2 linked regions of the Rattus norvegicus genome follow. The protein of the gene in region 1 binds, or shares a complex with, the protein of each later gene. Links are inferred from orthologs where the notes say so. Each region holds a gene or a part of one and is shown in the gene's direction. Other genes may lie near its edges.

The links.
Region 2: Qrsl1 (region 1) and Gatc share a complex: the UniProt entries of both Homo sapiens proteins name them as parts of the heterotrimeric GatCAB amidotransferase (AdT) complex. The link is inferred for Rattus norvegicus from reciprocal best matches to the Homo sapiens genes QRSL1 and GATC.

The regions. Positions count from the first base shown.
Region 1 is NC_086038.1:48,961,761-48,966,093, reverse strand, and holds the start of Qrsl1 (glutamyl-tRNA(Gln) amidotransferase subunit A, mitochondrial), read left to right. Parts: upstream 1-1,281; 5' UTR 1,282-1,379; coding exon 1,380-1,403; intron 1,404-4,333. Other genes in the region: Rtn4ip1 (reticulon-4-interacting protein 1, mitochondrial), read right to left, coding at 490-763. UniProt on the Homo sapiens protein: Allows the formation of correctly charged Gln-tRNA(Gln) through the transamidation of misacylated Glu-tRNA(Gln) in the mitochondria. The reaction takes place in the presence of glutamine and ATP through an activated gamma-phospho-Glu-tRNA(Gln).
Region 2 is NC_086030.1:46,929,140-46,933,651, forward strand, and holds the start of Gatc (glutamyl-tRNA(Gln) amidotransferase subunit C, mitochondrial), read left to right. Parts: upstream 1-1,680; 5' UTR 1,681-1,689; coding exon 1,690-1,997; intron 1,998-4,512. Other genes in the region: Triap1 (TP53-regulated inhibitor of apoptosis 1), read right to left, coding at 1-39, 1,447-1,593. UniProt on the Homo sapiens protein: Allows the formation of correctly charged Gln-tRNA(Gln) through the transamidation of misacylated Glu-tRNA(Gln) in the mitochondria. The reaction takes place in the presence of glutamine and ATP through an activated gamma-phospho-Glu-tRNA(Gln).

The DNA.
Region 1 (4,333 bases):
CGTGATGTCGAAACTTCGGAAATATTTGCAGGGATCTTATCAGAAACCTACACAATTTTGGATCATTCTGCCTACAGTGGTGCCTGCCACCAAGACTCATGGTCAGTTTAATCCCCTGAGCCTACATGGTAGAAGGAAAAAAACTCACCCCAAAGGATGTCCTGTGACCTCCACTTGGGCCCTGTTCCACACACCCAACCACAAAATAAACACACGTAATAAGAAACCTAAATGATTCCTTCAAGCCAACCAAAACGTAGTCCATTAACTAGGTGTGGAGGTCTACACCTGCTGTATCCCAGGACTGGAGAGGCAGAACAGGAGGGCTGCAGAGTGGAGACTACTCAGGTGTATACAATGAGTTGGAGGCCAGCCTAGGCTAGACAACGATCCCTTGTTTCAAAACAAAACCAACAAAACACCCGTGTACCCAGTGAATTTGATTTAAAAAAACAAAAAAACAAAAACAAAAAAACCTGGGCAACTTACTTCTCATGTTAACATCTATAGGATTTACACTGGCAGCATGGACTTTGATAATGACTTCGTTTGGATAGTGTATGATAGGTAACATCATGTTCTGGGTGAATCGAAGGACTTCATTCTTTCCATATTTATCTATCACCCAAGCGGGCATGACAGTGCTCCTCGCAGACGTAGTACTAATGCCTCTATATGGTGGCCTCGTGATAACTTTCCTTCTCCAGAAGCACACGGCGGCACAAGCATTTCTTCTAAGTACACAAGTCTTCAAAACTTCCATCCTGCGCAGGGATGGAGAACGTGTCCTCAAAAAAAAAAAAAATTAAAAAAAGGAAGGAAGGAAGGGAAAAGAAGCGAAAGAAAGGAGGAACGTGGGTGGGGAGGCGGAGAGAGGACCTGGGGCGGGTCAAACGAACAAGCTTCAATTCAGCCAAATTCTGCCAAACCCACTGGTCAATTAAGGGAGGAGGAGCTTTCAGAAACAAGCTCAACCTAAAGTAGCAACAGAAGAAAATAGAATTGCTACTGTGCTCCCCACTCAGAAATGGCGTCCAGCCAGTACTCTGGCCATTCCTTCCTTACGCTCTCCTTCCCATTAAGGAAAAAAGCAAACAAGCAGGGAGTCCTCAGCAGGACGAGCAAACAGGGCTTGCAATCCCGAGGCGACCCCGGCCGCGGTCTCCTTGCTTGTCCGCGCGCAGCCTCCTGCCGCCGGCTCGCGAGCCAATCGTGTGCAGGGATCATTTCCGCATCCTGGAAATCGACCAATCGAGGCGCTCGTTGTTGAGGAGGGGGCGTGAGGATCCAAGATGTCTGCGCCCATGTAACGCCGGTGACCGACGTTGACTTCTTCCTCTGCTCTGGGATCCTGTGGTACTGGGCTGACTCAGAGGACTATGCTGGGCCGGACTCTCCGAGAAGTGAGTGGACGTGGCCAGGAGTGGATCAGGGAGGGCGGAGACACTGGAGGACTTGGAAGTTCAAGGTCGCCCCGGGTCACCCCGCACTGCTCGCTCCGCCTGGCCGCCTACATTCCTGAGTGGGAAGTGGGATTCGAACCTAGGCTCTTACGTACACCCTCTATCAATTCCCAGGAGTCAGCCACGTCAAGAGAAATTGTTGAACCCCCCGAGCCGTGGAGTGGAATTGCATCCCTCCCGCGCGATTTGGGAACGGTTTCTCAGACAAGCCATTTCAAGCCTGTCGCTGCTGTGCTCGCTTAGGGACCGGGCGATTTTATAGCATGCAAATTTCAAACAAACCAAAAAAATGATGGCCAAAAAATAAATAAATAAATAAATTATGGCTTAAAAAAAAAAAACAAAGGAAAAACACGGCCGAACAACTAGGGTTTCTACACATCATGTTTTAACCCCTATTTAAGCAATAGGTCGCAACCACAAATGTAGGAGAAAATTTGACAGCAGTTTAAAAGGGGAAAGGGGATGTTTCTTAGAGACAGTGGGCAAACGCGTTGTGAATTCAAGATGTTTCTGACAGCACCCAATGTTGCTCCCTCACGACTTCTCTGCGCGAGGTTCAGAGCAGTATGTGTGCACTACCCAGCAAATGCCTGAAACATCTCAACTCAGAATCGAGGGTGTTCTGTGTTAGGATTTAACATATGTGCAACCTTTCTACACTTGTGGAAACATAATTGTTTAATTGCAGAGAACAAAACCTTTTAATATTTTCCTAAATCATTCCTCAGCGCGTCCGTACCCTAAGTGTGAAATTTGTGTTTCTCTGGGTTCTATTGCATTAAGGTGCTTGATACTGAAAATGGCTGCTTGAGTTATCGACTTGAGTTTCATTCAAAAGTTATTAAATAAGTTCGATGTGAGGTTATTCAGCTTTTCCCAGTATGGCTCTATACATGCTCCTACCATTTCATACAACATACTTATGCAAAGTGGTGTTCTCGGCACTGATATAGCAAATCAAAATATTGGTAAACTGAAAAAGGGAACAACATTGAAGCAACCTGCAGCCAGGATTTAATTCCTTATTTTAAAATAAGTAAGTCTATGAGTCTATGCATCCATTGGTATGCAGATTTACTATCATCTTTAAGAGCAAAATTATGTATACCAAAGAATTTTTTAAATATCTATTTATTTACTTATTGTATATGGGTATTTTGACTGCATGTATGTCTGCACACCCACAAGAGTGTATCAGATCCCGTGCCACTATAGTCTAGGTGGTTGAGAGCTGCCTTATGGGTGCTGGAAATTGAACTCAGGGCCTCCAGAAGAGCAGCCAGCGTTTAGCCTCTGGAGAATTGTTCTAAAATCAAATTCTTTATGATTTAGCAATAAATGTCTTGCATGCCGACTTTGTTTCTCAGTGTACCTGTGCTTTGCCAAGCTTGTCTGGCAGAAAAGGATTGTGAGTGGGAAAAGCTTAGGAAGCCCTGCCGAGGTTCTTATCTGTGAGAGCCTTCTGGAGGGCTCTTCCAATCGCCCAGAACACGCTAAACCAAACAAAGGCGCCATTGCACCGAGCCCAGAACAAACCCAGAAGCACGCTTGTTACCAGCGGGTCTGTACACTGCTCTTCAGTCTCTGTGTCCATCGACTCACGAAGCCCTATAGTCTGTTCTGTCGACTTCCTGTCCCTGCCTTAATTCACAGTCTTGCTTTAACATAGCACACCTGCTTTTGTTTGAGGCCAAACTCTCTCAAGCTTCACAACAGTCTTGCTTGCCCACTCAGAATAACCCGGGGTCTTAGTTAAAACTTGAGCTGGTTCCCCCTCTGGACTCAATTAGAGAGATCTGTGTGATTAAAGCTCAGAGTATATGGCTTAATGTGGTCTCTGGGTAGACCCTGGTAACTTAGTATTGAGTGTCCTGCCTACCTTCTCCCTTTCCCTTCCAAATGGAGATTTGAGAAGTCTCTTCTTTCTCAGCTGGCACCATTTCAGTGATACATCGATACTAACTTAACATATATGTACACATGTGTGTGCATATATATTAAATTAACGTGTGTATGCATATGTGTGTATATATGCACATGTGCTAATATTTTTGTGATATATAATGATATATAAGTAAGAAAGGTGACATATATGTTAATTTAATATGTATAAATGTTAATTTATATATAAAATTACCATACATTGTATGTGAGCTATATGTAAAATCCTACAATGCATGTGGCATATCGGATACAGTCAAGCTGACAACTGGGAATAGCCTTTACACAAATCATACTGTTAGTGAAAAAACAAATTTATCGGTTTTTTTTTTGTTTCGGTTTTGTTTGTTTTTTTTGAGGCAGAATCTTGTTATGTAGCCCAGGCTATCCTTGCTAAATTTGTTCTCTAAAAGGAATGGGGAATCCACTTCCTCACGGTTATGAGGCTGGTGTCCTTTACTGCATTGCTGGCTGTGTGCACAGTAAATGAGGTAAAAGGGGAACAGATGTGGGATGGCTAGAACTGAGATCTAGGAGATTTTAGATCATGGAGAATGGCTACAACCAAGTAAGTGGTAACTGGAGTAACATGGGAACCATTCGTGTGAAGTAAGGTCAGGGAATGGAGAGGCCAGCTAGCATTCTACAGGATTTGGGGGGGGGGGGGAGGTGGTAATTTTATTTGCTTTGTTTTAAGACAGGGTCTCCTATTGCCCAGGCTGGTCCCGTACTTACTCTTTAGTTGAAATTGTCCTTAAATTCCAAGTACTCTTGCTTTCCCTCCCAGTGCTAGGATTGCAGGCATGAGCCATCAACCAGCTATAAATTTGAAGCAGGTCGTGGACCAGGGTGACAACAGTGACAGCAGTAACTGTCATATAGGTGCCATGAAAGGCAGTGCCTGACTGGAGTCTCAGAGGAGGAAA
Region 2 (4,512 bases), on another chromosome or scaffold:
CAGTCCTTCAATAGGAATCTCTTTCTCCTTGATTGCTTTCTGAAGGAGGAAGAAAATGTACTATAAGTCCACGGAAGCTTGCAGTCCATGTTTTGTAACTGAAGTATAATGGTACAGAGGTAAACCAGACTGAACTGGAATGGCTTGAAACCCACAATACAAGGGGCACCCTTTATTTGAGACAAGGTTTCATTGTGTAGCCCCGGGTAGTCTAGAACTCACATCTGCCTGCCTCTGAGTCATGGGATTAAAAGTGAGTACCTCTAGCACTGGTTTACCAAGCAGCACCGACGTGCAGACTGTCATGTAAGTCCTGTGTGGTATGCACGCCTGCTCTTGGGAAGGTCAGTTCAGGTACCTATCTCTATCTTAGTGACAGTGTTTAATATGAATCTCAGTTTAAGCGGCTATGTGACCTTGAGTCACCTTCACTGTCTGAGAACTGGCTAAAGGTAGCTTCTGGAATCCAGGGGATGGTTTTAGGTTAGAAGTGCTGATTTGAGGGCTGGAGGGATGGCTCAGTGGTTAAGAGCACTGACTGCTCTTCCAGAGGTCCTGAGTTCAATTCCCAGCAACCACATGGTGGCTCACAACCATCTCTAATAGGATCCGATGTCCTCTTCTGGTGTGTCTGAAAACAGCTTCAATGTACTCATATAAATAAAAATAAATAAATCTTTAAAAAAAAAAAGTGCTGGCCTGAAATCAAACCTTATTGGTACAACAGGTGGAGGAAAAACAGAGCAACGAAGAGATCGTAACAAAACGGGACCTCTGCAATTCCTTAGCAGTCTAAAACATACGGTAAACACATCCACTCTTAACAGTGAAATGACACCACCAAAATAATCGAGGTCACCAGACTCCAGTGCCTTTGAACAATCACTTCCTATTTCTGAGTACGAGTTTTTCCATGTGTAAAGTATAGATAACAGAACGTCTTGTCACCAAGCCTGGTGTCCTGAACTTTATCCCCAGAACCCACATAAATGTGAAAGGAGAAAACTGACTCCGTTAGTTGTCTCCGACATTATCCCGGACGGGAACACATATCCCGGACGGGAACACATACATTTTTTTCCGCCCAGAGACGGAGTTTTTCCGTGTAGTCCTGGCTGTCGTGGAACTCAACTCTGTAAACCAGGGTGGCCTCTTACTCAAGAGACCCGCCTGCCTCTGCCTCCTGTGTGCTAGGATATTAAAGGTGTGCGCGATCACCGCCCCGGCCACGGCAATTTTTAAAGATACGAATAATTATGACTACTTGCAAGGTTGGAATAAGTACCAAACAAATGAGCAACAACAACAAAATACTAATGTACTATGTAAAAAGCAAAGCACCGCGAAAACATCCCAGTGTATCAAGCGGCGACACCCAAGCAATTTCGGTGGGATGGCGGAGAAGAGGGCTGCTGCAGCCCTGCGGCTGGTCCGGGCGAAGCTCACCTGGACACACTGTTGGTAGCGTTTGAAGAGGTCGGTGCACGGGTCCCCCGAGCCGTCTCCTTTGAGAAACTTCTCAGCAAACCAGCGGTTAAAGCATTGGTCGTACTCGCGCTTCATGTCAGTGCAAGCCTCCCCGACGCTGTTCATGGCGACCGCAGCTGCAGTGACGGCGACGCACTCTAATGTCGTCACGCGCGCGCACGTCGCCCCACCGTTTGTCGCTACGGAGGCCGAGAAGCAAAGATGTGGGCACAGGCGGCGAGGGTGCAATTTCGGGCTCCTCTGGACCGGGGCCGAAGTTTTGCTTCCAAAGTGGGTCCACGCGGAAAGGTCCAGGCGGCGGACCCGAAGACCCAGGCTCCACGCCTAGTCCCGGAGGGCACCGATCGCGTGTCCGCCGCGGTAGTCGAGCATCTGGAGCGGCTGGCACTGGTGAACTTCAGCAGCCGCGAGGCGGTGGACCGGCTAGAGAAAGCCGTGGCCTTTGCCGACCAGCTGCACGCCGTGGACACCGACGGGGTGGAGCCCCTGGAGTCGGTTCTGGAGGACAGGTAAGCTCCCGGCTGCGGCCTCGGCGTCTTGACTCGGGCACCTTGGAGGCTGTTTCAGATTCTTTGCATAATTGGAAATTTGTCAGGTCACCGCGAGGATGGCTTCACTCTTCCCCTAGTTCATTATAGATCCTGTCACTCCCGTTTAGAATCCTCTAGTCTTCCCAGTCTCGATGTAAATAGGAACAAAGTCCGAAAATCCCCTACTTCATAGAGCCCCTACCACCCTCTCGGGTGTACTGTTCCTTCAGGACCCGCCTCCAGCCTGTACCGGCTTACTAACCACGTTCATTCCCTCTAAGGTGTTTTCACTTGCCTACCTGAGCATCAGATTAAATAGCTGAAGAAATATATATATATATTTACACATATATACATATATATATTTATATATATATACATACATACATACATATACATATATGTATGTACGTATGTATCTTCAAATCAGTTTTATGCTAATATGGGACATCCAAATAACAAGTTATGCTTCACCTGTTTTTGGAGATAGAATCTGGCTGTTTCATCAGTGCTAATTATAAGCCTGTATTACCCACGTAGCATCAGTTTCAGGAAATCGGTGAAATGCTTTGCGAAGTTTAAATCGTGTTAGTCACCTGTTCTTCTCACCTTCCAGTCTGATTCCTTCCGGTCTTTGATCTGATGCTCAGATGCAGAGAAGTTATCACTATTTGCCTAACATTACCCCGCACCTCATTACCCAGTACTTCGCAGCGGTTGACCTGATGTCATTTCCCCATCCAAGATCTTCAGAAGATGTGGCACTGCTCCTGAAGCCAAAAAAAGTTTGCTTGAGGCCTGCAGGCTCTTGGTTGTCAGTCTCTGCCCATCTCTCCAAGCCAGCACTGTCATGCTTTCAGCTTCCAGAGTTCTCCCTCCGTTACTTTTTTCCCCACAATTTTCAGTCCTTGCTTTTACCAGCTCCTTATCCCACCTACTTTTCTCCTACTAATTCTCCTTTCTTTTTTTTTTTTTTGGTTCTTTTTTTCGGAGCTGGGGACCTAACCCAGGGCCTTGCGCTTCCTAGGTAAGCGCTCTACCACTGAGCTAAATCCCCAGCCCCGGATTTTTTTTTTAATGTCTAGCACTGCATAAATACTTGATAAATGCTCAAATAAACATTTCATTAATTTATTTGGGGAGAAAATAGAATCAGACAGGAGTCGGCAGTGGTGGTGATGGTGTGGTGGGTTCAGCGGGTGAGGGCAATTGCTACCAATCATGATGATCTTAGTTTGATCCTTAAGACCCACATGGTGGAAGAGAACTGACTTGAACAAGTTGCCTTCTGACTTCCACATACACCATAGTACACATCTCTGCGGCATACAAAATTTTAGAATTGTAATTTTCAAGAGTCAGGATTTCTTGTCTTCTAGGAGAAACTAAAGAAATGCAGTTGCGGGCTGGAGAGATGGCTCAGTGGTTAAGAGCACTGACTGTTCTTCCAGAGGTCCTGAGTTCAATTCCCAGCAACCGCATGGTGACTCAAAACCATCTGCCACAGGGATCCGATGCCCTCTTCTAGTGTTTCTGAAGACAGCTACAGTGTGCTCATATATAATGAATAAATAAATCTTTTTAAAAAAAAAAAAAAGAAATGCAGTTGCTAAAAAGGGAAAAGTAAAAAAAAAAAAAAAAAGACAAGCAATATTTGTCATGTAGTGGCTGGAATTTGAGCTTGTTGTTTTATTTTATTTTTTTTTTTGTTCTTTTTTTCGGAGCTGGGGACCGAACCCAGGGCCTTGTGCTTCCTAGGCAAGCGCTCTACCACTGAGCTAAATCCCCAACCCCGAATTTGAGCTTGTTATTGTCACTCAGTGGCCTGAATTTCTTACCATAAATTTTGTCGTTTTAGGTTAATGAGTCCCACTGGTCATTTTAATATGACATTTGTAGGACTACAAAAAAAATAGGCCTCATGAGTCCCAGCCTCTCAGGCTATAGACTTCAGTGCGCTTTTAATCTTTAACTGTATGTGCCTGAGAGTCTAGCACATGTGTGCAAGAACCCACAGAGGTCGGAAGAGGGTGCCTGTGCAAGCCCCTGGAGCTGGAGTGTCAACCTCCAGGTTGGTACAGGAACCAAACCCAGGCCCTCTGTAAGAGCTACATGCTCTTACCTCATAAGCTGTCTCTTGAGCCCCTGACTTGTTTTAAATGCTTGTCTGAACTGGACACATCCTAGTAACGATAGGAGATCAGCAGTTTTAGCACCAGCCATAATTGCAGTAAAAGCCCCAACTGGCTAGTAGACGTCTACATATTAATAATGTATTATTTGAGTTGATCTAAAAGGCCTTAATGTACCTGTGTTATAGGCTAGGAGTTTGTATGCAATATCTCAGTTATCATATATGACTTAGATGATTTGGGAAAGCAAAGAGTGCCAATTCCATACAAGAAACAGGCTCAGAATTTCACTGGAAAAGCCAGGACTTGGGACTTAGAAGCCTTAACTCTCAAATGCAGGGACCAGCTTTACTGACATCTCA